Linked DNA regions of Alligator mississippiensis. The protein of the gene in region 2 purifies or fractionates together with the protein of the main gene of each other region. This does not show direct contact. Links are inferred from orthologs where the notes say so. Each region holds a gene or a part of one and is shown on either strand. Other genes may lie near its edges.

The links.
Region 1: the proteins of SORBS3 (region 2) and DLG5 purify together in Homo sapiens (co-immunoprecipitation; 3 studies listed by BioGRID and IntAct, with this or other methods). This does not show direct contact. The link is inferred for Alligator mississippiensis from reciprocal best matches to the Homo sapiens genes SORBS3 and DLG5.
Region 3: the proteins of SORBS3 (region 2) and WASL purify together in Homo sapiens (co-immunoprecipitation; 3 studies listed by BioGRID and IntAct, with this or other methods). This does not show direct contact. The link is inferred for Alligator mississippiensis from reciprocal best matches to the Homo sapiens genes SORBS3 and WASL.

What each region holds. Positions count from the first base shown.
Region 1 is NC_081829.1:31,286,836-31,297,434, forward strand, and holds the start of DLG5 (disks large homolog 5), read right to left. Parts: upstream 4,448-10,599; 5' UTR 3,811-4,447; coding exon 3,501-3,810; intron 1-3,500. UniProt on the Homo sapiens protein: Acts as a regulator of the Hippo signaling pathway.
Region 2 is NC_081830.1:21,755,776-21,766,276, reverse strand, and holds the start of SORBS3 (vinexin), read right to left. Parts: upstream 4,736-10,501; 5' UTR 4,650-4,735; intron 1-4,649. UniProt on the Homo sapiens protein: Vinexin alpha isoform promotes up-regulation of actin stress fiber formation. Vinexin beta isoform plays a role in cell spreading and enhances the activation of JNK/SAPK in response to EGF stimulation by using its third SH3 domain.
Region 3 is NC_081827.1:43,713,398-43,723,780, reverse strand, and holds the start of WASL (actin nucleation-promoting factor WASL), read right to left. Parts: upstream 4,448-10,383; 5' UTR 4,191-4,447; coding exon 4,080-4,190; intron 1-4,079. UniProt on the Homo sapiens protein: Regulates actin polymerization by stimulating the actin-nucleating activity of the Arp2/3 complex. Involved in various processes, such as mitosis and cytokinesis, via its role in the regulation of actin polymerization.

The DNA.
Region 1 (10,599 bases), on a different chromosome or scaffold from region 2:
TTAGTTTAAGCACCCCTGCCACCATTTTTAAGTGCAGGAACCCTGATACAGGAGACACAGGAGGCTGCTGGATCACAGTAACTGCCATGCTCTAGCATACCCGATTAAACTGAGTCTGCTCTGATTCACTACAATTCCAGTGTGTTGGAGCAGCTTCTGTGCTCCTGTGTGGTGCCCAAGTGTTTCTCTGAAATAGAGCTTGTTTAGCAAAGATACGTATGCTCCAATCACAACACTGGCCTCTCTGTCCCATTTAGCCTTTGAGGAGTACACCAAACTTAATAAATGTTGTTTACAAGTAATTAAAAATTGTTTAAAGTATGTGCTAATACTAGGCTTCCTTGATTTAATGACTTAAATGAATCTGTAAAGGAAAATCCAGTAAGAACTAAATGCTCTCTCTACAATGACCAAGCATAAAGTAAATAATCCTGACAGGAAATTACTTTCTGACTAAGCAAAAATCATACAAAGTCAGTTTTTGCAGCCTGTTTACTAATGCTGCCGTGCACAATGCTCTAAAATTAGAAACCAAATAAGCAGGGGTGGGAAGGCTGGGGGGAAATCAGCATGGGGGGTTTTAAAGTATAACAATAGCAGATTTGAATTCACTACATATTTGACATTTGCAGTAAACTTTAAGACTTAACAGTCGCATAAGAAAAATGCTAAAAGAAAAGCAAGCTCCTTGAAATGCAAATATCATTAACTATTTTAAAAATCCTTTAACAACTTCTAGAACCCAAATCTTCCACTTTAGCAATAAAAACAGCTGTCAACTGCCTTTTGTGTTGTGGGGGGACATATTTATAAGATGGCATCACCTATACATCACCCAAACAGCAATAACAGTCTCATTTTCATCAATTTACACCGCATCATTACAACCAACAGGGAATCTAAATTTCAAATGAGAAGAAAAAAAATCTGATACTTCTTAAAATTATTCCTTAACTAAAAAAAGTTGAAGAAATGCAAATTAATCATACACTGATATACCAAAAGATTAATTCTTTCATGAAGATATCCCAAGTAGATAGAAGAGACATGCACCTATAGCTTAAATTACTCAGAGGAAAAACAGACAAGAAAAAACTATTCAGTTATAAGTATATGCAGCTTGCTGCATACAAACTGAATGTCTAGCAAGCATTCAAGATTCATAACTTCACATAGCTCTCTCTGACAAACAGCTTATAACTTAAAAAGAATGTAGGATGGGAATGATTATCAATCATAATCTAAGTAATAACCGTAAAAAATAATTGAAAGATATGTCTTAAAAAGATATTTAAAATATGTAGGCCTAACTAGTCTAGCTTTTAAAAAATACAACTATTTTACAAAATATAATAGAAGATCTGTTTACAATAGTTATTTCTAACAATTTGATAATATATCCTTTAAACAAAAAGGCTAAACCATTCCTCCTTGGTATTTACTCCTGTACATAAAAACTAGAAAGTTTAGCTGATGTAATCTTATTTTCATTGTCCACCATGAATGGAAATACTAACTAAATAAAAGTTAACTGCAGGAAGTAGACTGAAAGAGACAAGACTGAGCCCATATTAAATAACAGATCATTTTAAAATATAAGTTATCATTTAAGACCAGCTGTGGCTAAATATTAATTCCTTCTCCAGAATGTTTTCAGAACAGGTAGATATCCTGCAAATTGTTGATAAATGGCTAGCTTTATACACATGAATAGTCTCACTAGTCTTAACCAGGGTACACGGGGGCCGGAGTGGGGGGTGGGGGGGTAGAGGTAAATTGTGTACAACTGTCCTTCTAGATGCAAAGCCACACAAACAATGACCAATTAGGGTCATTAGTAATGATCTTTTCTGCATTCCTTTGAGAAAATGTCAGAGTATATTTCAATAGTATGAAAACTCTCTCTCAAACACAACTAAAAGAAAGAAAAAGGTGTCTAAAAAGCATCACAAATCTCCTTCTGAACATAATTCATGTCAGGGAAACATTCCCCCCTATACGAAGGATGACTGCACTGCAGAAAGGAGAGTGTGACTTTTTATCAAATAATTACAAATACCTCTACCAATTTTAGAACTGTGACATTTTACCTTACTTTCAATTTAGGAACACGGCACTGTCAAAGAATAGATTCATCTAATCCCATTTTTTCCTGCAGTCACACCTGATACTTTTCTCTCTTTTTTTTTTTTTTTTTTAGGTTTGTGGAATTCTAATAGTCCAACATTATCAGTATATAAGGGAGTTTTCAGCCAAGAATATGCTGACCATTATTCTCATTGCACAGAAAGTTATGAGCCCCCCTATGCAAAGAACCAAGTACCCTCAACTCCTACTGATGTCAGACTACGTAATAATAGAAGTGTTGAGATCTGTTGCTCAAGTTTATGCTCCCCCCCAATGCTGTAGGGGCCTTAGAAGAGTCCATACAATGTAAAGTTTTTTGTACTGTATGTATCCATTATTATTATTATTACCACCAACACACACAGCTAACATCATCATTAAAAATAAAAAGAGAATGTCAAGTAGGACAGTGTATATGATAAGCATTTTCCAGGTGGAACAGGCAGGATTAAAAGTTGTAATTTAGTTTGTCTCATTATTGTCCTAAGAAAATGATCTGGGTTACATAAACCAGGAAGCCTCCCATGCATAGTTTCCTGCCTGGTCTACATCCACATCTGCCATATTTTTCCCCCTTCTTGCCAAACTTGATATTCATTATAAGATATGGTAGCTGGGTTTCAAAGAAAAAGGACCCTCCCTAGGAAATCTGTGTGGGATTCTTCTCTCCCTCTGAAGGTTAACACTAGTTGCTCCTCTCCTTTCCTCACAACTAGGAGTTATGACAGGACTGTTCCAAATGAATCTCTGCTCCAAATGGAGCAACTAGGTCCCACGTTTACCACTTTCCTCAAACACTGGGTGCAGGCATCTCCAGTTTTGCCAAGCCAGGCTAAACCAGTACAAGCAACCTGCAACAGGAACAACCATTTCCTAGCTGCCATCAGCAGTCAAAAAACTTTAACTGGTTTAGCAGCAGCAGCTTCAGTGGAGTTTCGGGTCAAGACAGAGCAGGCAGAACAAGACTGTGGAAACAGGTAGTCTTCCCTTGAGGCTGGGTTTCGGGACCCTGGCACAGCAGTAGTGACCGCACGCAGGCAGGCAGTGCGCAACTAAACGGAGGCAAAGCCCAGGTGCTGGCAGCAAGGAGGAGGGGGATATGTGAATGGAAACAAACTGAAAAGAAATGGGGTGAAGAAAATAAGCCGGCAAGGAGACACCTGCACAGCTGCTTCCAGAGCCGGAGTGGTCTGCTCCATACAAGCTGGCGGGCCACGGCTGCAGCCTCCCTGACACCCTCCCAGCACACCAAGGCCTTCTCTGCGCGGCAGCGGGCAGGGCAGGGCAGGGCAGGGCAGGGCAGCCCGGCTGCTTCCCCCCCCGAGCCCCGACCCGCCGCGGCTGCGGACTCCTCCAGGCCCAGCGCCACTCACCCGCCGCCTCGCCGGCCGGTGCGCCCGCCGCCCCATTCAGGTAGAGGATGGAGAGCAGGTGGGGCTGCGTCTTCTCCAGGGCCACGCGCAGGTCCTGGAAGTGGTCCCGCTCCTTGGCGAGCAGCAGCTTGAGGAGCAGCTCGGCCTTGCCGGGGGCTGCTCCCGCCCCGGCTTCCTCCAGCTCCAGCAGGTCGCGGGGGCCGAGGGCGCCGGCCGCCTGCAGCAGCTCCACCACCGCGTCCACCTCGCTCATGGCCTGAGCCAACGCGGGCCGGCACTGCGCGAGCAGCTCCTTGTGCTTGGGCTCCATGGCCGCGCCGCGCCGCCCTCCCTCCCTCCCTCCCGCCGGGACGCGCAGGCCGGGGGCGGTTACTCTCCACCGCCTACCCCAGCGCCGCCACGGCTGGGCACGGGGCCGCTCCGCACGAGCAGCGGCTCAGGCGGCTTGTCTCCTCCCCTCCCGGCCGCCCGCAGCCCCGCAGCATGCCGCCCGAGCCGAGCCGGGCCGGGCCGGGCCCCGCTTCCCGCCCTGTCCTGCCGGCAGACACGCGCCGGCCGCGCGGCGCCTCCCCCCGCGCGGACCTGGCAGCGGAGGCGGCTGGTCCCCCTCGCCCGGCCCGGCCCGGCCCGGCCCGCGCAGCGCCGCCTCCCGCCCTCCCCAGCCGCTCCGGCAACTTGTGGCCTCGCCGCGCCCCGCTCCAGGCCGCAGCGGCCGGGGGAGGCTTCAGCCCCGAGCGCCTCCTCCTAGCGCCAGCCGCGCGCAGCCATGTTGCTTGCACCGCGCCCAGGCGCGGCCCGGGCCGCGCAGCCCCCAGCTCCCACTCATGCCCCTGGCCGCCCGGCGACGGAGGAAAAGCACCCCCGGCCCCGCCGCTCCTCTCCCCGGCGCGGGCACAAAGAGGGAGGGAGGCAGGCAGAGAGACGCCCCGCCCAGCCTCGCGCTGCCTGCGGCCCGGGCCCTCCCGCGCCCCCCGCCCCGGACTGCCGCCTCAGCCCCCGCAGCCGCTGCCGCCCCCCGCCTGTCCGTCATGGGCGGGGGAGGGAGGAGCGCGGCTGCTGCCGCCTCCCCGCGCCGGGTGGGGAAAAGGAGACCTGCTGTGCTGTGCTGTGCTGTGCCGAGCCGAGCCGTCGTGCCCCGGTCCCGGCGGGGAAAGGGGCATTGAAGCCTGAGCCCCCATGCCCCGCAGGGCGGAACCGCCCGAGGCCCCCCGACCTCCAGGAGCCCGTCGGCAGCACGCACCCGCGCAGGGCTGGCTCCTGGCGCTGAAGTAGGGGAGCAAGGAGGAGCGGGTGGGGGTTGCTCACGTAGGGATGGCGGCCCTAGGCAGAAAGCTCTGCCCCCGCGGGGATGTGGGAAGGGGGCTTCTAGTGTGTTACTTCCTCTCCTTCGGTGGCCAAGAGCAAACCCATGCTCTGAACTCTGGGATCTTACAGAACTGTGGCCACTTCTCCGCCCACTGCTTCCAGAAGTAAAGGAGACTTCGTTACGAGTTCAGAGCTTATGAAACACAAGTGCTATACTGGCTCCTACCCATGCCCCATCCAGGCCAGCATCCTGTTACTCGGTTCAGCTCCTATAAACCTGTTGTCTTTTACTAAAGATAGAGGAACACCTCGGAGCTGTGAACCTGGCTCTGACGGGCAGAACCGGATGCTAGAGGTAGAGCTTTGAATTGGATCTAACCCTATCTAACGATCCCTGGCCTCTACTAGATGCCCAGTTGTGATTTCTGCACAGTAGGTGATGTGAGATGTATGCATCCCTTATACAGTATCACCCTTGTTTTGTTTGCTGAAAATAAATCATTTACTTTTTTGGGGGGAGGAGGCAGGAAGAGAAGTTAGCCCCATCCCTGAAAACTACTGGAGTGAGTGAGTATACCAAAGCAAAAAGCAGGTGCAACTGAAATAGAATGTCTACATGATACAAAGATGAGAAACGTCTTCAATATAAAAATGTAAAGACAGACATTGTACTTCTACATCCTGTACTCACTGAATACACTGAGGAAGCAAATGAATGACAGAGCAAATCTGATTCACGTGCTTACACAATAAATATTAAACTGGATATACTAGTGCCATCTACTGGAAAGACTGTCTAAATCCCTGGCCTGCCTTGTGACAGCATTAAAAGCAGGGGTGAGGGAAACAAATGTTCGTTTTGCAGGACAGTTTGGGATTTCAAAGTTTATTTTGTTTCTAAATTGGGAGGGTACAAGGAATTGTGAAGTCTCCCTTCCAAACAATTTCCAGAAGAAAACTGGTCCAACCAAGTTGTTTTGTTTTGATCAAAATAATCAACATATTAGCTAGCCTGTGTTGTTTTGGATTTATTGTAAATTCATACGGTACAAATACATTTCAAAACGAAAGTTGTTTGAAGACATTCTATTCCAGGGTGATCAAAGTGTTTGTCAATTTTTTTTCACTATTGTAATTTCTTAATTGAAACAGTTCTGTTTCTTTGGGAATGTTTCAACAATTAACCGTTTGCTACACTGGCAGATAACTTTTGGCCAACTCCAATGAATAACTTTACATACAGGTTCGCCTCACTTAACATCGTCCCCGTTAACCTTGTTTCGTTATTACATTGCTCATCTATTAGAGACCATCTTCAAAGTTGCACAGTGTTCAGTTATAACGTTGTTTGTCCGCTACCTGCTAGTAGGTAACTATTGTGACATAACTGGATTCACATGACATGGTTTCACTTAAAGTCACATTTTTCAAGGACATAACTATGATGTTAAGTGAGTAGCAGCTGCAGTTGCCACTCATCTTGGCATTGTTACTGGTAATTTAAGGATCCTTTCACTTATCAATAAAATTCAGCTTCCTCAGGGGAATCAGCAGTGGTTAATCAGCAACAGGGCACAATAGTTATACAAAGAAAGTAAGAAATAACTATTGAGAGAATATTGTTCATAAATTAGGGTAAAATGCTGATATTAATTATTACATTGAGCAGCGATTTACTTTGCAAGCACCTCATGGACGTCACCTTTAATTACCACAAATAATTACAGGATTTACATTTTATCTAAAATACCACACCTGCTACAGGTAAGGGCCTCTGACACTGTGTAAAAACACTAGTAATGGCACAGGGAAAATCCTGCTGTTTGTTACTCCCACCATTTTTGTAGCAAGGCCGTTATTTGGCTGTCTCCCATCCACGTACTTAAGTAAAGCCTGATTCTGTTCAGCTTCTGACAATAGACAGACTCATGGAAGTACAGCTGGAAGCAGTTGCTCTTTAGCTATCCTAGGAAAAGCACTACATTTTGGAAAATCCAAGTTCTGAAGTGAGTTTTTTAGCCCAGAAAAGAAATGAAAGATTTATATCTAGACAAAAAAAGTCACCAAAAGTCACAACATAATCTTGCAAGATTTAAAGGGACACCCACAATGTTTTTTAAATACTGGTAGTTTCCATTCGTGTTGGCTCCATTGTTTTGAGCCCGTACTTAGAGCTTTGAGAAGAAAAAGTTCTTCCTTCTACTGATTTAGTTTTCATGCTTAGTAAACTTTTTGTATTAATGGAATGGCAATGCACAAAGATGGGTTTGTTCACTTCCTTGTTTACACTGCAGCATCTTGATTCAGTTCTAAGAAAAAAAACGTTGCTGGCTAACACTTGACATTAAAACACTGTTTCTAATGCCATTAACTGCATACATTATTTGAAAGAAAGCAACAATAAAAACTATGGAAAATAAATAACCATATAAGCATACAATACAGAAACCAAATTCTGGGTCATGCTACCTAGCTCACGTTAGAGCAGGGGTGTCCAACCTTTTTGAATGTGGGGCTGGATCATGAACTTTTTATCACCCAGTGGGCCGGCAGGAACGGGCGCTCGCGCAGCCTGTCCAGTCCAGCCGCGGCCTGGGGGCACAGGGGTCAAGGGGTGCCACCTTACCCCGCCATGTCCTCCCTGCCACCTGGGCAGCCTCAAGGATGCTTCCGCACCTGCACACCTGGGCTCAACAGCCAGGGGGACATGTGGGGACTCTACAGGGGGATGCAGGATATGCAGGGACACCCCCCTGCTCCCTCTCTCCCTGGGGCAGCCCAAGCAGCAGGGGTCCCTCCCTCTCCGGGATCCGCGACTCAACACCCCCAGCATGATGTCTGTGGGCGTGGGGGGATGCGGGAGCGGCGCCAGCTTCCTGCCCCGACAGCCACAGCAACAGCAGCAGCATCTCCCACAGGCCTGGCCACAGCATCCCTTCGAGCTGGCATCCACGCCCCCTGCTGGCATCCACGCCCCCTCCAGTCCATGCAGCCGGCAGGGACCGGTGCAGGGTGGGGCCGGCATGCAAATGAGGAAGGGAGGGGTGGGGTGAGGAAGGGACACCGTAAAATGAGGGGGGAGGGGAGGGGAGGAGCCACACCGTGTCAGCAACATCAAGCTGACACGGTGCATGTGGAAACCTTGTCCCTTCCCTAGCCCTTCAGCAGCCATCAGGAAGCTGCTGAGGGGCTGGCGGAGGGACAAGGGGTGGGAACAAAAGTAAACAGCGTTTACTTTCATGTCCTGTCGCAGCACCGCGGGCCACAGAAAATGGCTTGGCGGGCCGCATGGTGGCCCACGGGCCATATGTTGGACAAGCCTGCGTTCGAGTAACTTTGGTCTGCTCCACAGTGATAAAATGAGCAGTCTGCAGTCCTCTAGCAATCCATGATGCACCCCGCTTACCTCTTCACCCAGAGCAGGGATAGAGATCATGCTTCTTCTCACTAGCCCTCTAGCAGCATGTCAGAGCTCTGCAGGCAAGAAATGGTATTAACCCTTAATGTGCAGCTGCTCATAGCATATTTTAATTGTAACACCACTTAACATTTTGCACATTTAGTATGGTCTAAGTACAATATGTAATTTCACCCTAATATATGAATATGTATGCATGCATATGTCAGTATAAAAACAAAAACAACCTTAACTTCAGCACTGCAAAAAATGCCAACCTAACATATTTGCTTTTTTATTCCTTAGATATATGATTATCATCAGGTCAGGATCTATAATATGAGGCACCCATACTGTAAGATCCGTTACCTTTTGATTAAGTCATTGCTTTAAAGGATAGATTGGGACTATGACTTCGGAGACTTGACATTTTAGTGTGTCCATTAACACATGTTCAACAGGTCAAGATGTAGCCTATGACTACGCATTCATGTTTAACATGTTTTTACCGCTACCAGCTTCTTTTTCTTTTCATTAGATCCAAGAGATGGATATGAGGAATTGTGCATCATTGTTTCCCTTTAAATCTGACAGCCAAATTCTGTTATTTATACTAGTTAAAACTTCTTGAACCACATATACAAAAGGCAGAAATCAACCAGGGTTAAATTACAAGGGTTGCTATAGGAGGTCAACATTTACACCCTGCCTAAAAGATGTTACCCCTCCTATGGCAACAGGCAGATCAGTTGGTTTCAATAGTGACAGGGAGAGAAGACTGACATCTATAAGAGGAATGTGCTTACAAGATCATTTTCAAGTAAATGTGAATGAGGTTACTCTCTAAAGCAGTGGTCACCAACCAGTCAATCACGGAGTCTCTTTGAGTTGATCTGAGGCTGGGGGGTGAGCATGCGCATGCATGCATCACGCCCCCCCCCAGCCCAGCAGGTCAGTCCTTGAGGGAGGGAAGGGGTGGGGCCCAGATCGAGGCCCCTGCAGTGAGGGACAGAGTGCAGCAGAGACAGGACCAGGTGTAAGGTGAGTGGGGCTCGGAGCCAGGCAGGTGTTGAGAGGATTGAGCCTACGCAGCTCGTCGAGGGGCACAGAGGGTGAGGGGTTTCCACGACTATGCACACTCTGGTGGAGGCCCCAGGGGGCACATGTCCTCCCATTGTGTGCAGTGGAGGCAGCTGCCATTGCAGAATGGACTTTGCACCCCAAGCCCTGCTGCAGCTGGCTTGGGAGTGGCCTGATGCCATATGCATCCAGTCACCAGGCGGGCAAGGGACAAGGCTCAGCCTAGCGGCTGGACACATGTGGCATCGAGCCACTCCCAGGCCAGCTGCAGTGGTGCTCGGGGCACAAAGCCCAGCCTGCAACAGCAGCCACCTCTGCTACGCACAGATGTGGGGGGGCCGCATGCTCCTCCCCAAACGCGGGACAGTGTGGGCGGTTGCAGCAGCTGTGTGGGAGGGAACGGGGCTGAAGCAGGGGCAGACCTTGCACAGCCAGGGCGCAGAATGGAGCAATGAGTGCCTCCCTGGGAGGGCATGGGGGGCATGTGCCCCCCTGGACCTGCATACTGGCCAGGCTGCCTGCCACTGCAGGATGGGCCCAGGGCTGTGCTGGACTTTCCCAGTTGGGGGCTAAGCCAGGCTATGGTGCTGGGATGGGACTATAGGGGAGGGGGGCTGCAGGCTTCCAAAAATTCACTGTAGCACCCCCAACCCTCCCAATGCCACTACTGCTGCTGCCTAGCCGAAGTGCAGTGTGGCCCAGCCCCCCTATCAGAAAGAGTTTGGTGTTGCCTTCCAGCCCCAGCCCACCCTCCCCTCAACTCGGATCCCGGGCAAATGGCCCCCTAGCCCTTGGGGGGCGGGGGGGGGGGAAAGAGGTGGGGAAAGCAGAAGGCAGCACCAGGCTCTTCCCAGCAAGGGGCTGGGCCACACTGCACTTGGGCCAGGCGGCAGCAACTCTGGGAGGGAGGGCTGGTAAATTTTCAGGTGCCTACAGCCCCCATCCCCCCACTGCCCCCTCCCAGCACCACTGCCCAACCCAGGCCCCCACTGGAAAGAGCCCAGCACAGCCCTGGCCACATCCCAGAGCAGCAGCCAATGAGGCTGGCATGCAATGGGTCAGGTAGCTCCTCAATCCACAGCTGCCTACGCAACACAATTTTACCAGTATGAGGGCAGCTCACTGCATCCTCACTGGGTGTGGGAAAGTGGATAATCAGGATGCTTCCCCAGCACTCCCTCAGCGGGGTGGGGAGGTGCAGCAAATTGTTTGCCCCAGCAGATGTGCGACTAGGATCTGACAAATTTTATCACAGATCCCCAAAATTATGCATCCCGCTGTGCATATGTGGCTATTATTATTAGGTTATTGTAAGGT
Region 2 (10,501 bases):
GCAGGCAGGCACATATCTCCTGCACACACGTGCCCCTAGGCAGGGCCTGCTTGGCAGCAGGGGGTCAGCATCTTGCTGCGTCAGGCCCACTGGTCCCTCTGTTGGGCAAAGGCAGCTCTAGAAACAGCCATGCAAGTCTTGCCACAGCCTGCTTGAGCCCTGCCCTGTAGCCGGTAGTCCCCAGGGCCCGCTGTGCTGGGCCTGGGCATGGCACCGGGCTGAGACGCACCCCTCTGCCCCCGCAACTGCTCACATTGGAGCCTGGCTTTGTACCCTTCATCCTGGGGACCTGCCTGCCACCCACACATGATCCACCCCCACCTTACTCCTGCATCTCTTCTTGCGTCCCTACTGCCTCTGAAGGGGTATGTAGCAGGGGCCAGCTAGAGCAAAGACCCTGCCTCATCGCATCGCCCATCTCCCTGTTCACAAGTGTCTTGAACATCTGCGGGTAGCACATTGCCAGCCAGGGAGCTGAGCCAGCATCCTGCAGAGCAGAGGTTCAGGAAGAGCCTGGCCAGTCAGGGCAGAGAGTGAGAAGAGAAGCTGGGTATTAAGTGGTGCTGGGACTGGAGGTTGCTCGCTTGAGCGGAGAGGGGAATATTTCCACCCTGCTCTGGATGCGTGGGGATTTACAGCTAGGAAGCAAGGACTCAGCCCTGGTGCTGGTGGGGGAAGAGCTGTGCAGACCTATTACACAGCTCCAGCCAGGAAGGGATGAGATTGCGTGATGGAAACAGCTTGGCCGGGCCAGCCGGGGCTGTTATCTCACAGTTTTCCTTTAGTTTGTTCCAGCCGATCCTGGCTTCCACCCCTGGGCGGTGGCAGCTGACTGTCCAGACAACAAGCAGCGTGGGGCAGTGAGGCAGGCCCTCGTACCAGTCCTGTGCAGTGCATCGCCAGCTCTTTGGGTCTGATTTCCTGCCTGTCCATGCCCTGCCCAGCTCTGTGTCCAACCACGCTGACCTGCCTTCAACTTTGCTCCCTGGCTTTGCACCTGTGTCCACTGCCCAAGGCCTGTCCTTTCTCCCTACAACACACCCAGTTGGGCACTGACCTGCACTGAGGCTGACAGCATGCTTGGTTCCCCTATATATACCAGGATAATGCAAGTGGTCGCTCCTCCAGCTGGACCTACTGTGGGCACCTCTGGCCACTTCCTTCTTGAGCAGTGTCCAGAGCTCCTCCGTCACCACAACCACCGCCCTTCCTGCTGCTGAAGGAAATGGGGTAACGCCGGGCCTTCCTCAGCTGCTTTCTCCCTGCCCCGAGGCTCACTCTGCCTAGAGCCACATTAAGATGAGCAGTACAGGGTTTCCAGCAGCACTGCACTAGCATGGATGCTCCCAGGGCGGCTGCAGGCCTGCTCCACCCCTGGGACCATCAGCCAGGCCTGAAAACCAGCTGAACATGGTCATGCAACACCTGCCTTGGACACACAGGGGAGAGCCAGCACAGTCCAGGTGGGGGACTGCTCTCTGGTCCTTGGCACCACTGAGCAGGGGAACCAGCTTGGAAGGGAAGCTGGGGCAGAGGAGGGATTTCCAGGAGGAAAGATTTGCACAGCACAGCCTGCAGTGCCATGCAGCCCTGGCAGGTGCCCTAACTGGCCTCTCCTTCCAGTGACATCCCTACCCCAGGGAAGGCTCCTGGGGCAGGGGAAGAGAAGGGAAGGGCCACCCCATGCATCCTCCGGCCATCCCATATCTGCTCCCAAATGGCTTCCATGCAACAGTGCAGCATCCTAGAGAGCTCCCAGGTGTCCTCAGGGAGCAGGTTGTGTGGACTTCAGCAGGACCCGTGTCCCTACGGGAGCACACGCACGACGCACTCTGACTCTGGGACATGGAGAACCTCCCCGAGCTTTTCTTCACAAGAGCAGCGAGCTCAGGTTACTGCCCTCACCCAGTCCGGGCCTGCTCGAGTGAGAGCAGCCATTGTGCGGTCCAACACATGAGCCACCCGCTCTGCTGCTGGCATGTCCTGTGGTGCCAGGTCCCCCCTCCCCTCCCCTGGAATCCAGGGCAGGGCCATGCTCCAGCCCTTCGGAGATGCCAGGATAATAAAAGTGGCATTACCATAAGCTGGGCTGTTACAGGATCTGGCACCACAAGCGTGCCAGAGTCGCCTCACATGTGATGTCCGTGGAAGGGGTGGCCAGGCAGCAGCACTACCCTCTAACTAGGGGGTTGGTAGTGAGTCTGGAGCACCTACAAGCATCCCCGGTGGCTGCAAGCGAGGCAGCACAGGTACCACGAACACCTGAGATGTGGCCAAGACACGGCTGAGTGCCTGCCACCGGGAACCATGCTGCTATGACTTGACCTGTGCTAGTTAGGTAAAACTTGGCTCTGGTGCTGCAGCTCACCTCTGAGGGCAGTGCAGAGTGAAGGGCTGGAGCGGCATGGTGCCGGAGGGGCCCCCCAACCCAGCATTGCTGGAACAGCAGCACTCAGGGCCTTGCACAAAGGGAGGAACCAGCCTGACGGCCCCGAGAGCTGGGCTGAGCGACGTGGATGCCTTTAAGGCACTAGGGCTGCTCCAGCCAAGCAGGCTAAGGCTGGGTGAAGGATTCACAGCCCTGTGACTCAGACGTGCCCAGCAGCCACGCCACATTGCAGGGCGAGGGAATGCCTCAGGGAGCAGAGTTCACTACGGGGCTTCCTGGTACTCACAAAGCCAAGGAAGTCCCTGGGAAAGCCAGAGCCTGCCACAGAAGAGGGCCTGGCTGACTTCCACCAGCCCTCTGTACCATAAGACCTGCATGCTTTGAACCCACGGTTTCTTTCCTTTGACTGCCTGCCTCCCTGCCACCCACACCAGCAAGGGACAAGCTGAATCTGGTTGTAGAAAGGCTCAGATTCCTTGCCTTCTGCCACAAAATCACCCCACCTGCCACCAACCCCCAGAAGCAGGCCACCAGCCTCTGCCTATAATGCTGCCACTGGACCCACATGAGGCTGCTATTGGCACAAGGCAAAACCCGCTTGGCCTAAGAAAACCTTCAGGGTTGATACAGCATTGGTGTGATGCTGCAGAAACCTTTCATGAGTGTGATGCTGCAGAAACCCCATGACAGTGGTCATGCCTTAGGCGCTGGCAGTGGTGTGTGCATTTGGTTAAGCAAATTGTCTTTGCCTGGAGAAGAGGGGCCAGGGCACCTCCTGCTGGATTCCTCACACCATGGCAATGTGCAGAAACATTTCCGTGGGAGAGCAGGGGCAGGGGAAGAAGCAAGCCAAGAAAACCAACAGCAACTATAGATATGCCAAAAGAATGACACACCGGAGACAGTGTGTTCCCATGCAGGAGGTAGCATTTCTAGCACAGGACCATGGCCATTTGTAATGGGAAAGGAGCTGGCACAGCCCTGAGGTCTTGCCCTCGCACATCCCCTGGTGCAACCTGCAGTAAACTGTTCAGTTATAGTCCAAAAGGCTGAAAGCCATGTGTGGTGCCAGACCACTCCCTTCCCCAGCACACACAGAGACAGCTTCCAGGGGGTACACCCCCTGCCAGGCCACACACAGGTACCTTGAGGGCAGGGTATTGATAGGGGGGGTCTTCCCTGGAGGGTCAGGGCCTTCACTCCTCACAGGTCAGCAACCAGTTAATCGAAGGCATTCCTCTCCAAGGTTTGCTAAGTGACCATTGCTGCCTGCTGAACGGTGCAGACAAGCTGGCTCCTCTCTTGCAGTGGCCCATGTCAACTCTGGCCAGGGATGGTGTGAGCATAGAGCCATGGCACAGCAGGTCCTGGTCTGGGAGTAGGACCCCCTCACTGAAGCACTACTGAACAAACCAGCATCACACTACCACCACCTTGAGAAGTGCTGACAAGCAGTACAGAGCAGATGTGACCCCCTGAACAGAGCAAGTCTGCCGTTCTCGGTTCAAGATCAACCACCGCCTGCACTAGTGGTAACACAGAGCAGGGCAACGGTCAACAAGAACTGGCTGTGTCCCTGCGGCACACTCTGCTTGGGGAATGTATCTCATGCCATTCACTGCATTGTAGCCACCCAACCCAAAAGGGGCCGCTAGCTTGCGCAGTATGCCCATGGAGGTGTTCAACCCGGAGCGTGAAAGGTCAGAGCCCAGCTGATGTGGTTAAGGTATGTCAGCTTCCACACCTGATGACACACGAGGCTCAGATGTGGCTGCATCACGTAGAAATGGGCTTCATCTCCCAGCCTGAGGAACCAGGGCCTCCAGCACAGTCCAAAGCAGGACTCCAACTCACATCCCTGGAGCCAGAGCAAGGTACCATGCAGGAGGTCTCAATGCAAGGGCTGCAAACAAGGGGCTGGTGGCTGTGGCCACCCCATCTTGTGGCAGGGCATCTCAGGTTGCCAGCTAGTTGAGAAAGGTTGTAAGAGCCAAGGAAGCTCCATCCCAGACCTCACTGAGAACAGCCATGGTCTGGAGATCCAGAAGAACCTTCCCCTCCGAGCCAGCTGCCGTCAATCTGCTCCCCGTGCAGCAAACATCACCACAGCGAGGTAGCCGCTTGCAGGCGGCCTGCCCAGTGCGAGGGCTGGATTCCCACAGTGGCTGGCTGTGGCGCAGCCTTGCTGCACTGGTGAGGTGGCTCCAACCCCACAGGCAATCCCCACCACACTTGCAACATATGCGCGGACCCAGCTCACCTCCCCAGCTCCTGCTTGCTTGGTGGCCTCTGCCTTCCAGCTCTTTTTGTGGGCGTACAGCCTCTCGCTCTGCCCGTGCCAGCCGATCCAAGTGCGTCCTTTGGCTGCTGATAAATATTTAACACGCAGGCAATGACAGAATTCACAAAGGTCGAGTGTTTCGTGTTTGCTCGGCAGTGGGCGCCAGGCCTGCTAGCATCGATTAGATAGCACTCCTACACAGCAGCAAGTCTGTGCTTGGAGTGCCACAGCCCATCTGCAACAGCAGCAGGCCCTTCTGGAGCAGGCTGTCAGCCCAGGGCTCAGAGCGCTTCAAAGCTTCAGCCAGCAGAAGGGAGGCACAAAGGGGCTGCGACTTCCCCCACGTGGCAGAGTTTGGAATAGAAGCCAGGAGTCCCAGCACCCAGCAGGGACAGCTGCAGAGAGGTGCCCTGGCTTGAGCATAGTCTAAGAGCTTCCTAGCAGGTCCCTGCGGGTAACAGGCTTCCAGGCTGGGGGAGGCAGTGCTACTTCCTATTACATGAATTGCTACAGTGCCTAGGAGCCCCAGCCTGCTGCTTCTGCTCTGGCCGCCCTCTGTGGCGGCCAGGAAGCAGGCAGCACGGCTGAGCATGGGGCCTTTGGTCCATGTCTCACCTCATAAAAAAGCCATGACACCTAGGAATAGACAGCTGCAGCAGTTGGGCTGGCTCCCCTGGGTAAGGCATCCCCTGCAAGGTGCTGCTTTCTGAACCCCACTCACCTGTAGGGAAGGAGGGCTCGCTTCAGTATTTTGAGGGACTTGGCATTATTTATTGGCATGAAGGCTGCAGGGGGTGGCACTGATCCTGACTGCAAGGGCTGGACAACAGGTAACATAGGGGAGTGGTGGGGGCTTAATGCAGGCGGGAGACTGCATCAACAGCCAAAGAAAAGCTGGTGAATGGTAGCCAGGCCGAGCTATCAAGCTCTCTGCAGCAGGGGCCCATGCTCCATGTTCAGCTTATCTCTACCCAGCGTCTCAAGTCTGCTCACAATTCTGCTCTGTGTTAGCAGGTGCCCGGCTCCGAGGCATTTCATATCCCACCTTTCTTGGCACCGCCAAGGGGGCATACACTTGAAGGCAAAGGGCAGATGAATGGCCTGTGCGGCTGCTGTCAGCAAGTGGCTTTGCAGATGGTCCCAGCACTGAGCAGTGTGCTCATGGTAGGTCTGAGTCAAGGTAGTTCCTCTGTGGGCTCTGCCTTCACCACTGCAACAAACCCCATTGTGCTTACCTCGTGCTGTTACATTGTCTTCCTGTTGCAGAGCGCAGCAGAGCAGCAGCACAAGTACGCACACCCCTAGCTGTGCCCTGGCAAACACCTTTGGTTCCAGGACCTCCCTGCACTTTGACAGCACTGATTAATGAAGCCGCACGGTCCCATTTTAGGGACCGGGAAAACTGAGGCCCACTGTGTTTACTCATCAAGTTTAAACCAGAGCAGGCAATAGCGAACCCAGGTGACCTGACATCCTGGGTCTGCCGTTATGCCTGCCTCCTCTCCGACTGTGGCACATACAGTGGAGAGGAGCCAGAATAGGGAGCAGGCCTGACTCTAGGCACCAGAAGGAGTTGGGAGGCAGGAGGGGAAGAAAAATCCCCCTGTAACAGGAGCAGGAGTTCAGCCAGTGTAATTCCCTGGGTGGGTTCTCCCTAGCATTCAGCATTCCCCCCCCTTCATGACACCTGGCCTACGCCCTTCTCTTGTGAGGAGTGCTCAGCTGATTTTTATGCAGCAGGGTCAACCTGTGCTCTCCCGTGGGCAAACGCAGGCCAGTTACCTCCCGCTGCTCCCCATTTAATCAGGGCCTGGAAAGATACTAACTTTCCTCTGCCAGGGACGCAGGGCTGTGGGCATGGGACAGGGTGCTGTGTTAACCTGGGGACCACACAACAAGTAGAGCTCCTGCCAGTGCTGAGAACGGGACACGGGGATTCAGGGCCAAAACATCACGCCTTGACTGGCTTCTGAGGAAACACACAACAGGAAAGCTGCCAGTGCTCCGATGCGCCGTGGGGCATCAGACTTCAAGGAAAGACCCCGGAGCCGAACGACCGTGTCATTTAATTTTTAACTTTTTTTTTCTTAAAGATGACTTCCCATTTACAGTAAGACAGTTCTAACAAATTCATTCCTTGTTCACAAAAAAGAAGAGAAATTATATTAAATAATTTCTGCCAATAAATAACATTTGTCACCATTTTTCTTTAAACATAACTAAAAAAAAAAAAAAAGCAAGAAAAAAAAGGAGGCAGTCTCCAGGCAACGGGCATAGGATCCTTCAGCGGAGAACCTCACATCACCATCGCACCCAACACGCATTCCTAGGGGCTCTGCGGTCCTTGTGGCGTGAGGCAGGCCAGCCTCCAAGCGGCTCTGTTCAGAGAATCTAGCTAGGTAAGACAGATCTGAGTGTTGCAGCGTGCTGAGAAGGGCCCTCCCCGTGGGTGTGCGGGATGTTATCGCCATCAAAGGTTCTCCCTATACAAGGTGAACGCACCTTTGTTCCCAAAGCTTAAACAAAAAACCCATTGCTGACTCCCTCCTTGTTACATGCACCTTGCTATAACATGCAAAAAACCCCAGGCTGCTTGAGACAGCCATCCGGAGAAAGGAGTGAGTGCGAGCGCGCTGCCCCTACATGGCCAGAGTCGCATGGACTGACTGTGCTCCAGGGCTTAGGGCCTGCTTGGCTTTTTTTCCCCCCCTTTTCTTTTTTTCTCCCTATTTTGGGTTTTTTGTTGGGGTTTTTTGTTTTGTTTTGTTTTTGTTTTTTTGCAAAGTCTCCTTTGTCGAGCTTCTGCAGCTAGATGGCCCAGGAGGAATAGAGGAAGGGGGGCACTAGGTATTCACAATGCTTGGTACTGGGATGAGGGGAGCAAGGAAGCCCCTCCTGTTCTTACGCAGGCCTCTGAAGGGCAAGATCCCTCTTCCCCGCACAACAAATACTGGGGTGGTGGCCTAGCGCCATCCTGGGAACCAGTTCGGTTTTTTTTGGAGCTGTCCAGGCGTTAAGGCCTGTGCGGTGGGGTTCTCTGCCTCCCTCAGGACACACTGGATGGAGGTAGAGGGCACCGCGAGGTCTAAATGCTTAATACTGACAGTACAATGGAGACTCTTTGCACTTGGGAGCAGCAGCTCTCGCCTACTGCTCTGACCAAAAGTGGAGTCTCAACCTGCCCTGGTTCACCCTCTCGTGGGGGCTCTGTCATCACCTGTCCATACAGTCCTTGCCACTCGCTGTATAACAGCACTGTGCTGCGCAGCAGCAGCAGCTAGCTAAACCCCAGCAGAGGGGAAGCCAGCACAGAGAGGGTTACAGGGATGAACATTAGTCAATCAAGGGGGTAATTAACACCCACTCTCCCCAATCTGTGCTGCCGCTCACCCCCTCACCCCATTAGGAACACTGCATGCTGTGCTGAAGGAACACAGACCCTGGCACTGGCGTTCCCATGGAAACTGGAGACTGTGCTTTGCCTGACAGCATGCTAGCTGCATGTGCTTGTGTGGGATACAGAATACATTCCCAGCAGCTCTCAGATGGATACTAGAGAGGAGGGGAAAGGCCCAATAGCTCCTGCATGGGGAAGCCATGAGTCATCCACAGTGCTCCCGACGCCCACAGCCCACTGGGCTGGCGATTACTTTCCTCCCGTCTGTGACTAATGCGAGAGCAGGACTCCTGATCCCAGCTCAGCCCCACCGACTGACAGCAATGGGATGGCTCGGGACTCCTGTTGGAGGAGCATCCGCTAATTAACAGGCTGGGAGAGACCCCCTCTGGGTCCGTGTGCTGTCAAGTCACAAGCCAATCGGAATTGAGGAGGGCTCGTGGATCGGTGTCCCCTGATCGGTTGCATGGATAATTTCGGCAGGCGCACGGCTCCGGTAACTATGGTTTCACAGCTCCAAGGTTTGCAAACACCACTTAGCAATGTTATGATGAGCCTCTTGCTTTGAAATAGCAGTTAATCTTTTCCCTGGGGAGAAGAAAGGCCTAAAAGGCCCACAGCAGGAGCTGGCAGGGCCAAAAAGTGTGATCTGCTTGAAAAAAATCCATCTGCAGAGCCTCTGGCACAGGAGAGGTTTTGCGAAGAAATGACTTTGTCTTGTGAAAAGCCAGTACCAGAAGCCCAGAGTGCATGAGCAGAACCACAGTCAGAGCTGGCGCGCCATTAACTGAGGCAGAGTGAAGGGGGACAGAAACCACCGTTGGCGGTAAGTTCCCAAGTGGCGATGAACAATGAGGTTAACAAATATCTTGGCAGTGTCTTCTTCTTCTCCCCAGTTTTAAGGGAGGGATCCCAGCTGCCTCAGCTCCCCCCTTCACTCCTGACCCCGAATGGGGTAGAGGCCACGTTGTGGGGCCCGGCACAGGGCTCACAGCCCAGAGTTGCTGAGCAGAGGCCGTCCAGCCCTGGCCAGCACCTCTGTGCCATCAGCCATCTTGGAAAGAAAGATGCAGTGCTTTAGCCCACTCATGCTTTGGGACAGTTGCCATACAAAACAGGAGGTGCACAGACAGGAGCGATCAAGCCCTTGCCCCCCATGGGGTAGGAAACAGACAAGCCTTCTCAAAACACTCACATTTGCACAAAGCAGGGGGCGTGTGGAAAAAAAAATGGAGGCAAGTGACTTCAAGTGTCCATCACTAAAACCCTAGTCTGCTTACACAGGCAGTTACCTAAAGAACCACTAAGGAGTCACCTTTGTGACGTGGAAGTAGGAAAGAGGTCAGAAGAGGTTTCTGCAAGGTTGATGCCTTCCCTGGGGGCTAGAAGACAAGCGGGTGGCCACAGCATGAAGGGAAGCCAGCAACATCAAGGGGCAGAAAACGGGCTGGCAAACATCCCTCTCTAGAAGGCTGAGTCTAAGGCTGCACACCTGCTACACTTGTTCAGTGGTGTTAGCATGTGGTTTAAACCGGAAGGGCAGTGGAAGGCGGCAAAGTGTGCTGCTTTGATGAAGCGTGACAGCGGCAGAAGAGGATCCAGCTACAGTGACAGGTCAGCCAAAGGCAGGGGAAGGGACCTTTGCACTCCTGAAAAATAAGAGAGCTTCCTGGGATTTTTATGGGTCTGTTCTGACACCTGTTTCAGTCCGAGTCTAAGTAAACTAACCCAGCGGGGTACTCTGCTTGCTGAGATTCCAGCTTTGCAGCATTTCACGTTTGAGAGGCCAATCTCAGGAAATTCTCAGCTGTGCGCTGGTAACACACACTGAGCACCCTGCAATGAGATGCCTTTTTGTCCAACTTGCCGAATGATCCACTCCACTAAGTGCCTTCAAAACCATTTTCCCACATCCACTGGGTTCCCCTACTCACTTACCCCCTCTACAATGTCTCTCTCCCCATTGCAACCCCAGGGCACAGATGCTTCTGAAAACACAGCATTTCACAAGACCCTCTCTGCCATGACTGCTCACTTACAGGCCTGATTTCCGGTGGCACCAGTGGACACTGATCCTTCCCCCATGATAGCTATGTCACTGGCAGGATACCGTGGTGCCCGCCCTTCCTGTGGCCAGATAAGCTCCTCTTTTCTGAAAGTCACTGCTGTCCCCTGGACAGCTCAGCTAACCACTGTAGAGCAGCAGTCTCACTTCTACTGGGTGCTTGGTACTCAAATGCATTATGCTTGGTCTACACACCTTCTGGTTGCTCTACTCTTGTGGCAAACCCAGCAGCAAATGCTGAGGGCCAGCAATTCCCTCACACCCCATCTTTACACAGGGAGATCTGGCACAGTAAGTTTACTGCTTTCTCCCAGCCTCAGCCCCGAAAGCAGGCACATGAAGATGGCCTGGGAGACTACAACGAATTCC
Region 3 (10,383 bases), on a different chromosome or scaffold from region 2:
TGCTGCCTCCAGCTAGATGGCAATTCTGTATTCTTCCATCAGGCAGCAGGGTGAAGTGAAGGGAACTGCAAGGTCCTAATGCCATCCCACCTCAGATATGACCTCTGGGTCATTCTGGCCCACTGCTGAAAAACATTGCTGACCCCTGGACTAAGTGATAAATACATATTGAAGTTACATAGCTGGTCATGTGAGAGAATCCAGAGGAGAGCCATGCACATGATCAGAGGGCAAGAGAACAGGCCTTATGAAGAGAGGCTGAGAGCCATGGGACTCTTCAGTCTGGAAAAGCACAGGCTTGGGGGGACCTGGTAGGTGCTTATAAGTACATAAGGGGTATACATCAGGACCTGGGAGAATGTGTGTTCAACAGAGCGCCCCAAGGAAAAACAAGGACCAAAGGTCATAAACTCCTACAAGACCATTTTAGGCTGGACATAAGAGAAAATTTCTTTACGGTCCGAGCCCCCAAGACCTGGAATAGACTCCCTCCAGAAGTGGTACAGGCACCTACTCTGGACTCATTCAAGAAGTGTTTGGATGATTATCTTGCTGGTATCCTTTGACCCTAGCTGACTTCCTGCCCCTGGGGCAGGGGGCTGGATTTGATCTTCGAGGTCCCTTCCAGCCCTAATGTCTATGAAAATCTATGTGTATTTTTTAACAGGAACATGAATGTAGTTATTGCAATAATGTTAATAAGAACCCTGAAAAAAGATCTCAATTTGATCATAAAATTATTGTGGCACATAAGCAGGATCAAAAAGAAAGTTGTATTAACAGCAGAGACCAAACCAAATCTGTTTTTGTGCCCTGAATTTACTCTAGAAGCAAAGAAAAAGCCATTAAAGCTGTCTTGCACATGATACTGCACTTTCTTCTTAAAAAGAAAGCAGGCAACAACATTCTGTAACAGCTGAAACACCCAAATAACCTTAAAGGGTAACTCCATTAAAAGAACATTATATGCAACAGTCTAAACTAGAAGGCAAAAGCATCCCTTTTTGATTTCAGATGTCAGCAAAGGGCACATTTTACCTACCGAAGGCACCTAGAGCCCACAGAAACCTCCAAATTGAAGCCTCAATGTCTTATCAATGTCTATCCACCACATAACACCATACCATCCTCAAAAGAACTAAGCTGATTAGAAAAATAAAATGTGTTTATTAGTTTGATATACCACGTTAATAATATACCCAGTACCTCCTAATCTGATTTACTTGCTATGCAAACACCAGTCTAAGTAACAGGTAAAAGCCTAAAACTCTATAGAGTACAGCCAGTAAGCTAAACAGTCAAAACTCAGCCTACAGTAACTTTTGTCCCTTGAAACCTTGACCTGAATCCCAACACAAGTTATAGTCAACCCAGTGTAAATCCAAATGATAGAAACTTGTATGAAGTTAATATAATAAGAAATATTTTACTTTCCTGAAACCATGACTACCTACTATTGAAAACATACACAGTATTATTACCAAGAGTCAGGAATATTAACATTACAGTCAATAAAGCTCTCATCAGCTTTGCATACATTTTTAAGTACTTTGTGCCTACAGTTAAGCCTTAAATGTCAGAACTCCCACCAGTACCTTAGCCTTTATGGGTCCTCTCTCAGGGATGGACATAAAGGCAATTTATGAGGATGATGCATGGAAAGGCTGCGTTAAGAATGACTGTTATGGATTACTGAATGGTCTAATAATCCCAATTAGCATTTCTGAGATGTTTGGAGACTTGAGTCTAGAAATCTCGATAGGCAGACTAGTGACACAGTCCCCATCCTATATAATTGATATGACTCTAATTTTAGGTTGGAGTATGTTGTGGTCAGCATGTTCGATTCCAATTAGAAGAAAAAAAACAAAGAAAAAAGATTTAGAGCCACAAATATACATCATCAAATAAACCTGGAATTAATCCAATGTTCTTAAGGCCACTATCACCATGTCAATGCAAAAAAGCTACTGTTTGTGCTCATATCTTAAAAGACCATTTACATTTCAGTAAAACACGAGTGGTACTAACCTCAGAAGTTTCGTTTTATTAACCTGTGTTTTGAGGTATAGTAGGACAAGGGGAGAGAAAGCATTATGAAGAACTGAAATTAAAAAAAACCCAAACAAAACAATATGCTTTAAAAAAAAATGTTTTGTAAAATAATAATGAGTACATTAATTCAGCGCTGTCCAACTACACAGTGGGTGGGGACTACCCACCGCAGGGGCCAGGGCCCTACCTCATCTACCCTGGCACCATGTAGACAGGACCCCTGCCCCCCACTCTACTCCATGCATGCATGAGCAAGTGTCTCATCTCCTACTCCCCAACCCCTGCCCCCCAACTCCTGGTCTGAGCTCCCCCACTGCAGTACTGCAGTCTGTACCTCCCTGCCCTGCTCCATGGCCAGGAAGTGAAAGCCAAGCAGTAGTAGGGGTGGCAGGGGAGGAAGCCCTGAGACCCTGCCTGCAGTAGCCAGAATGATGAAGGGAACAGCAGTCAAGGGCACATGAGGACCAAAGATTAACTCCTTGTGGTCCGCATCCACTATTTGGACAGCTCTTTATTCATTCATTGGCTGGATTAAATCTTATTTTAAAAATTCTTAGTTAAATATGCATAGGCACAGTTAATTGTATTTCAAGTTGAAACCGTTTGAATAACTAAGCCAACCTTTTTAAAATTTTAAGATAAAAGTTCTTCTCTCCTCCCATTCATTTTTTACAGCCTTGTATTTTTTTAAACATCTCAATAACTGCTTTGAATGATGTCATATAATCTTCCTGATAGCAAATATCACATACTTCCCTTACAACCTAAAATAATTAGTTTGGTCAGAGATGTCACGTCAGATGACTAAGTAAACAGGACAACTTCTTATCATAACATGATACTTACAGGTAATAGTTACAATTTAAGTAATTCATGCCACCACTGTTAGCAAAATGCACATACAATATTATAAAAAAAATATGATGCCTATTATCGATGTTCTGGGCACCTGACACAGGAAACACACCACCAGATCAATGCACTTCACTGCAGCCTTCTTAAAAGAAAGGCTTTTAACCAATATTGATGGGGGCTGATTCCAAGGAGCTTTCAAAAAATTCAAGCGCTATGAAGCTTTCCATAGATCTAAGGTCTGGCTGGCAAAGACGCAAAGAGCCATCTTTCCCCCACCCCCTTTCTGAAAGCCCAAGGCAGCTCACTCTCTGATATTACAGTACGAGATGCCACTTAGGAAACCAGAAATCCATTGTCCTACTTCAGGCCAAGCTTGTTAAAAACTTTTAAGCATTGTTTTCACTGTATCCATGTTTCCAGCAGGGACAAGGGCAGCAGGAAGCTTTCAGCATCAACCAGCACAAATCAATTGTCCTGGTGGACATGAAACTCAGGTCAAGAAAAGACGAGCGAAACCTGGAACAGGCTTGGCCCCGAGAGGAGCTCGGCCCATCCCCAACCCAAGGTGTGGCAGAGCAGGTGTCCTTGGCTCCCACTTCTTCAACTTTGTGAAGTGATTCAACTTTTCCACTGGGTGTTGCAATGGCTCTATTGCTCCCTGTATCCCCAGGAGCCCCTCGCTCAGGGAAGCCCTGGGCAAGCTGGACATTTCACAGAGGGGTGTGTGTGTATTGGGGGCACGCGTGCACGCGTGTGTTGTGTTGGGGGGGATACACACACATGTAAGTGTGTGTGCCGGGGTGTGCATGGTGGGGGGGGGATGTGCATACGCGCGTGCGCATGCTGGGGGAGATGTACATGTATGTGAGTGTGTTTGGGGATGTGCAGGCTGGGGGCACAGACAAGGAGCTCGGCTAAAACAAGCAGGGCTGAGCAGACCCGCGGCACCAGCAGGGCCCAGCATCTGCCGGCTCCCAGGCTCCGCAGACGCGCCCACCCTGCGAGCCCGCCGGCCCAGGCAGCGCCCGCACAGGGGCCTGCGGAGCTGCCCGGCCCATTCATTCCGGGCCGGGCGCCCAGGCCGCGGGGAGGGGAGGGGAGAGGAGAGGAGAGGAGCTGGGCCTGGGCCGGAGCCGCCGGTCCCCACCCCCCCTCGGGCCGGGGCTTACCACGCATTTCTTGCCGAGGCAGGCGAAGAGGCTGTCGTTCTCCTGCGGCGTGAGCAGCATGGAGCCCACGTTGCTGACCCGCCGCTGCTGCGGCTGCTGCGCGCTGCTCATGGCCGGGGCCGGGGCCGGGGCCGGGCGCTGCTGCTCCGCCGCGTCCGCTCCCCGCCGCCTCAGGGCAGCCGCATCGTGGCGCAGCCGGGGCCCAGGCCGAGGCCGAGGCCGGGGCGGGGCGCGGCGCTGCCGCCGGCGGCCGATCGCTCCCCGCCCTCAGTCCTTCCCGCTGCGGCTAGCGCTAAACTCCCAGCCGGCGCCCGGCTCCGGCGGCGGCCGCACAATCCAACATGGCAGCGGGGGCGGGCGGGACCACACGGCGGCGGCGGCGGGGGGAGGCCGGGAGCTGCGCCGCCGTCACCGTCACCATGCGCGGAGGCACCCGCCGCTCCCGCCCCGGCCCCGCCTGCCGTCGCCGCCGGGCTGGGCCGGGCCGGGCCATCCCCGCGCCCTTACAGCCCTGCGGCCGAGCCAGCTCTCGGGGTGTCCTGTGTTGAGGGGTCCCTGGCCTGTCTTGTCTTGAGCGCAGAGGGTCGTGAGACAAGGGGAGGGGACCGGGACCGGGACCCCGAACCACCCGCTTGTTGCGTTGTGCAAACCTCTGCAGAGCGGGGACCCCTGAGCTGGTACTTGTTCCGTTGTGGAAACCGCCTGCCCTCCGGACCCGTAACCCCCAAACCGCTTCACTCCTTCCTTTACAAAAGCCTCCTCTCCAGACCCGCAACCCTCAAACTGCTTCACCCCTTCCTTTGCAGAAACCTTCTCCTCTCCAGGGTTATTTGATACACTGTTTAATGACAGTGCTGGAGGGATGTGGTAGCTCTGATGGTCTAGGGATTATATGAGAGGCATAGATTATTTTTTTATTTTTTTGGACGGGTGAACTCTTGTATTGGGCCAACTGCATGACGGGAATAAAGTTAGACAAGCTTTTGAATATAAGGCGTTCCTCATCCAGTCAAGTGGGAAGCTTATTCCAGCCATACACTTGGTCCGGTAAAAGAGATCAACCTCCCCCTTCCCCTCCCCCCCAGAAATCCATGCCTCACATTACTGAATCTTAATTTTCCAAGTCAGGATTTATAGACTGGATAAAGGGAGGAGGCAGGATTTTTAATGGAAACTGGATACACACTTTACTATGGAGAAGTGTTTAGATCTGTGGAATACATCGTGTATGTGGAGAGCGAGGGTGGGAAGATGAATGGTAGGCAAGGTGGTAATCGTAGACCCATTACGCTCTCTGGGGCCAGCCAAGAGACGTCATCAAAGCGCGCACACAAAATCATAACGGTACATTTCGCTGGCTAGGTGTTCTCTCTTTTCTTGTGATGGGATAGCAGTGCCGGGCTGCCTAACTGGGATGGAGTCTTAAGGTAACATAACATCCTTCAGGACTACATGCACAGGCACATCAGTCACTTCAGATAATCTGATCTGACCCTTAGCTGCTCAGAGGAAACATTTATGTCCGCTCATACAAAGATAAAGTAGGGTGTTGATAACATCACATTACTAAAATTCTCTTGACATTTTAAAGGGAAGATGGGTTTCGCTCTGTCTCATTAAGTTGACCCTTCCTGTGATCATTTACATTTTTATTAAAAATGGGCTGCAGTTGCCTGACTTATCAATTCTGCCATTTCTAACTCTCCCTCACTCAGAGTTGTTAGGGCTTTTGTATTTTCTATCAAAACTAGCTGTTTTAGTATCTACCTATTATTTATTATTTGTGCTACAGAATTTCCTGGAAATCCCAGCCAAAATTGGTGCCTAGGCACCATAAAAAACATACATATATGTGCATCTTTTGTCAGTGAGTTTGTAACAGTAAGGTCAGTGAAGAACATCCATCCCTTTACTCACACATCTCTTAGAGCACTGGTTCCCAACACGGTGCCTGCATACGCCAGGGTGGCCCCCAAGATTTATTCAGGTGCCTACACAGGATTGATCAGATTGATCTAAATACTTTACTATCTACTGATCTAAATACCTTAATATTCATATTGGCACCCACTGCTTTTTCTTTTAAATTTGAATGTGCCTTTGGGCACATAAACGTTGGGATCCCCTGCCTTAGAATGTCTGGGGATATGAGAGAATATATGGAGGGTCCTGAGCGTCGAATGACAGGAAGGTAAAAATCAGGGTATAAAGGAGTCCTCCATGTGCAGATCTTGTGTGTGTGGTAAAAACTGTTAAAAACCCAGTTTAAGCCTTAGTTTTACAAATAATTACACAATAATAGTAAATACTCCAATGCCTAATCCCTCTTCTATGTAAGTATATGCCCCCTTGAGACACAGTTCTAGGAGAAACCTTTTAGTGGAAGCCCCTTGTTAAAATATTGGCAGCCACCTAATTGATTGAATATATACAAAAAAGATAACACACATGGAAACACTTTACAAACTACTGTAGCTTTTTATCATCTTACAAATATTGCATTATTTTGGAGCCAAATCTACAGTAGATAATTCATTCACCTGGCTTTGCTGTTGGCTAGAACTTGTACGGCTTGGCTGGAAACTGAACAAACCTCTGACCATTGAAACCTGGCACCTTCTTTCATGCTAGCCCATTTTGACTGACCTCACCTGTTCCTCTGCAATCCACTGATTCTTTCTCACTCCCTGCATATTTCCATATACTTCCCAAAGGAGCCCTGGGGCATCTCCATTACTTTTCTCCTCGGACTTCTGTCAGCCAGCAGCCATAGCTGTGAACCTTCATTTTCCAAAATTCCATCCCTGTTGTTAATGGGACACATACTCAAAGAATCTTGCTTGCTGTTTTAGTAGAAAAAAAGATCATTTATCTGGATTATTACATTATCTGTGCAGTAGTTGCTTCTGTTTGCTGCAGCCTAGAAATAGGAGTGAAAAGGACATGTACGATAGCCTTGATGATGGTACTGGCTGTAGGACTAGGTTACCACTGCAAAATGGATTTTTATCTTGGACAAAACCAACAAAGAATGGCTATTCTCACTACAGTCACCCAGGCAGGTGAATTTCTCCCAACCAGAATTATTTGGATACTGTCCAAGAGGTTATGAGACTTCTGATTGGCTCTGCAAAAAGTAATTGGAGTGACCGTTTTCCTGAAAGTTTCACCTCCCTCCCCTGCCAATTTCTCTTGAGCTCTGCCCTGGATTTATCACAGGTTCTCTTACATTTTAGGATAGATAGGCCACCACTAACAATTACTACAACTCTTCCAGTCCTTTTGAAGGTCTGACAGCTGTCCTCAAACTCATCCAAATGTATTCCGTTATTATAGACAAGGTTCTTTGGCAGAAGTCCGATACCTTTTATTAGATCAACTCAAATGGTTGGAAAAGTTCTTCTTAGTAAGCTTTCAGGTACAAACACCCTTTGTCAGGCTGAGGAAGCATCTGTAGGTTGTCTGTGCTCTGCCTGGATAGAGTGGTATAGTAGCCAGAGGCCAGTACACATTCTTTTATTGTATTTGCTCATAAAATCGATGGTCACATAGGACCCAGACACTGAATAATATTAAAAGTGGCATGCAAACATATCACTATGACCACATTTAATCATTTTTGGAGGCTAATATGATAAACATCAGATTTAATAAATTGTCTTTTCATTATCCATTTCCTTGTCAGAAGATTTATCTTTAAAGAAAAACTGTATATGTGAATACTTGCTATTAATCCTTTTCTATTAGTCCACTTAAATGATCAAAATGAAAGATAATATCCATGTGGAAACTTTAATAGTAGTGTATTAGCATAGTTTTTGACCAACACTCTACTGTGCAGTGTTATTAGGTTACTGTAAGGCTGTGCACAATTTCACTGGCTGTTTCATTTCAACACTGTTTCGACTCCTGTCAAGCTCAAAACAGCGAAATTGAAACAAAATGAAAGACTTCAAAAAAGCCTCAACACGAAACGAAGGCAGTCAAAACATTTCAAAAGTTTTGAAATGTTTTGAGTTTTGAAGCTGAAAAAAACAGGGAAAACAGAAAGTAAGGAGAGGGAGGGAGAAGAGGAGGGAAGGACTGCTCTGATATTGACTGTGTAGCTGATCACTGACTTTGATCCTTCCCTGAGGTCCCTTCCAATTCCAGTGCTCTGGGGGAGGGATGGAAAAACAGCATAAAAAGCAGCATTGTTTGAACTGGCCTGCTTCCTGCCTTGGGGTCAGTTACTGAGCTGTGTCTTAAAGCAGCTCAGCAGTGTTAGACAAAAACGGCTATCAGTCATTTCCTACTTGCTAACCTAGCAAGTGGGATTCATCAATACCTTTTTCTTTCTATACCTTTTTATTTTGTTATTATATTCATTCATTCATTCCTTTCAATATATTCCTCCCCACAAATCCTCTTTTTGTTTTTGTTAGTCTATTTTGATTGGGCATGGTGTGGGTGTGTGGGGGTTGTAGGGACCCTCCACACACTCCCCGCATGGTGCACAGCAAGTGCTTGTGGCCCACGCAGGCACTACTGCCCAGCTGTGGGCAGCTCCAGCCATTGCTGCACATGGTGGTGAGGAGTGCAGGCACGCTGGCCTACCTCTATCATGTGGGGCTCCGTGTGGCACATGTACAGCTCCCAGCACTCACGTGCCACCAGGGGAAGCCTCACACAATGGAGCTGTGACTGCCTTCTGTGCCCTTGTTGTGCAGGTCCTAGGACTCTGCTGGAAGTGGAGGGGAGCCCCACCCCTTGTTTCCCAGGTACACACATGGTGTGTGGCTCCATTGCTCAGGACTTCTCCCAGTGGTGCAGAGCTGCACGTGCGTCACACAGAGCCCCAAGTAAGAGAGGCAGGTTGCTCTGGCTGCGCTCCTCGCCACCACGTGCAATGATGGCTGGAGCCACACACCGCTGGGCAGCAGCGCCTCTGTAGGCCCTGAGTGCCCCGAGTGCCCACTGTCTGCTGCTGCTGCCACTGGTGGCAGAGGCTGTGTGCCTTGGGGGAGTATGTGGAGGTCCCTACACGCCCACCCTCCCTCACACCCCACAAATGCTGCATACCCACACCCTGCTCCCACAACTCCTCCACATATATAGACACAGACCCAACATACCCTATTGCCCACACACACAGCCACACCCCCTCACAGCTCCCAAACATACCTCCCACACTCCACCACCCCCCAAACAATATACAAGAGTAAGAGTTCATTTTTATTATGCAATCTCCTCTATATACAATACACAAACACAAATCATGACAAAAATATTTTTTGTAATAAAATTAAAATATGTTATAGTAAGTGTTTGACTTTTAGTGTATGATATAGGTTTTTTCTGGTTTCAAGATGATAACCCTCCCTTCCCAAAAGGAATACTTCTTGAGGCAAGGGGAGGGATGTCTGGTGGCAAAGGTCAGGGGTTAGGGGCAGGATTTCCAGTCTCAAGATGGTGACCAGGGAGCGGGACAACTGTCAAGGGGCAGAGCTACACCTATGGCCCTCATCAGCTCACCAAAACTCATGAAGTGGCCCTCCAGCAGAAATAATTGCCTGTCCCTGCTCCAGGGCTACTCCTGCCTGCCACAGTCAGCCCAGACTCAGCCCAGGACAGTGGCAGTGTCTGGATTCCCCCTCCCTACCTGGTCCTTTCTCTCCACCCCAACAGACCATTAGCCTGGGAACAGGCACAGGGATGGGGGACCCCTTCTGCTGCCACTGCTGACCCACATTGGACCCAGTCCCTGTGCAGCCTGGCTGAAGCAGGCAGAAGCAACTCTGGAGCTACCTTCTTCCCCAGGACAGTGGGGACAGAAGCAGCAGCAGAAGGGGAGAAGGGGAAGGGAAGGAATGTGCCTCTGAGTACGAAGGGGAAAGCCCAAAAATTTTTTTTAACTGCTTTGGATACTTTAAATGTACCCAACTTCTGCTCCTGTGGGTTGTTGGCCCACCCTGGTGCAGGGGTGAGGGGGAAAAGGAGGAAGGCAGAATCAGTTCTCATATGCTTTCTAAACTTTGGGTTGCTTATTTAAAATGAACATGGGGGGAATTTCTGTACCTGTGCTCATTCCATTTTTGCACAACAGAAGATAACATTGATTAGTTTGATGTATTGAGCTAAACTTTGTACAAATTAAGAATGAATAGGCACGCTGTTTTGACCTTACAGTCTCTAAGGGACAAATCCAGGTCCTGTCTTCAGAGTCATGGAGGCTCCTATCTAGTCTGTGAGTGGTGCTTGGTCTGTATGAAACCCCTCTTTTTAGGTCAGGGGAACCCACACCAGAAGATCAGTTGCCGTAGGA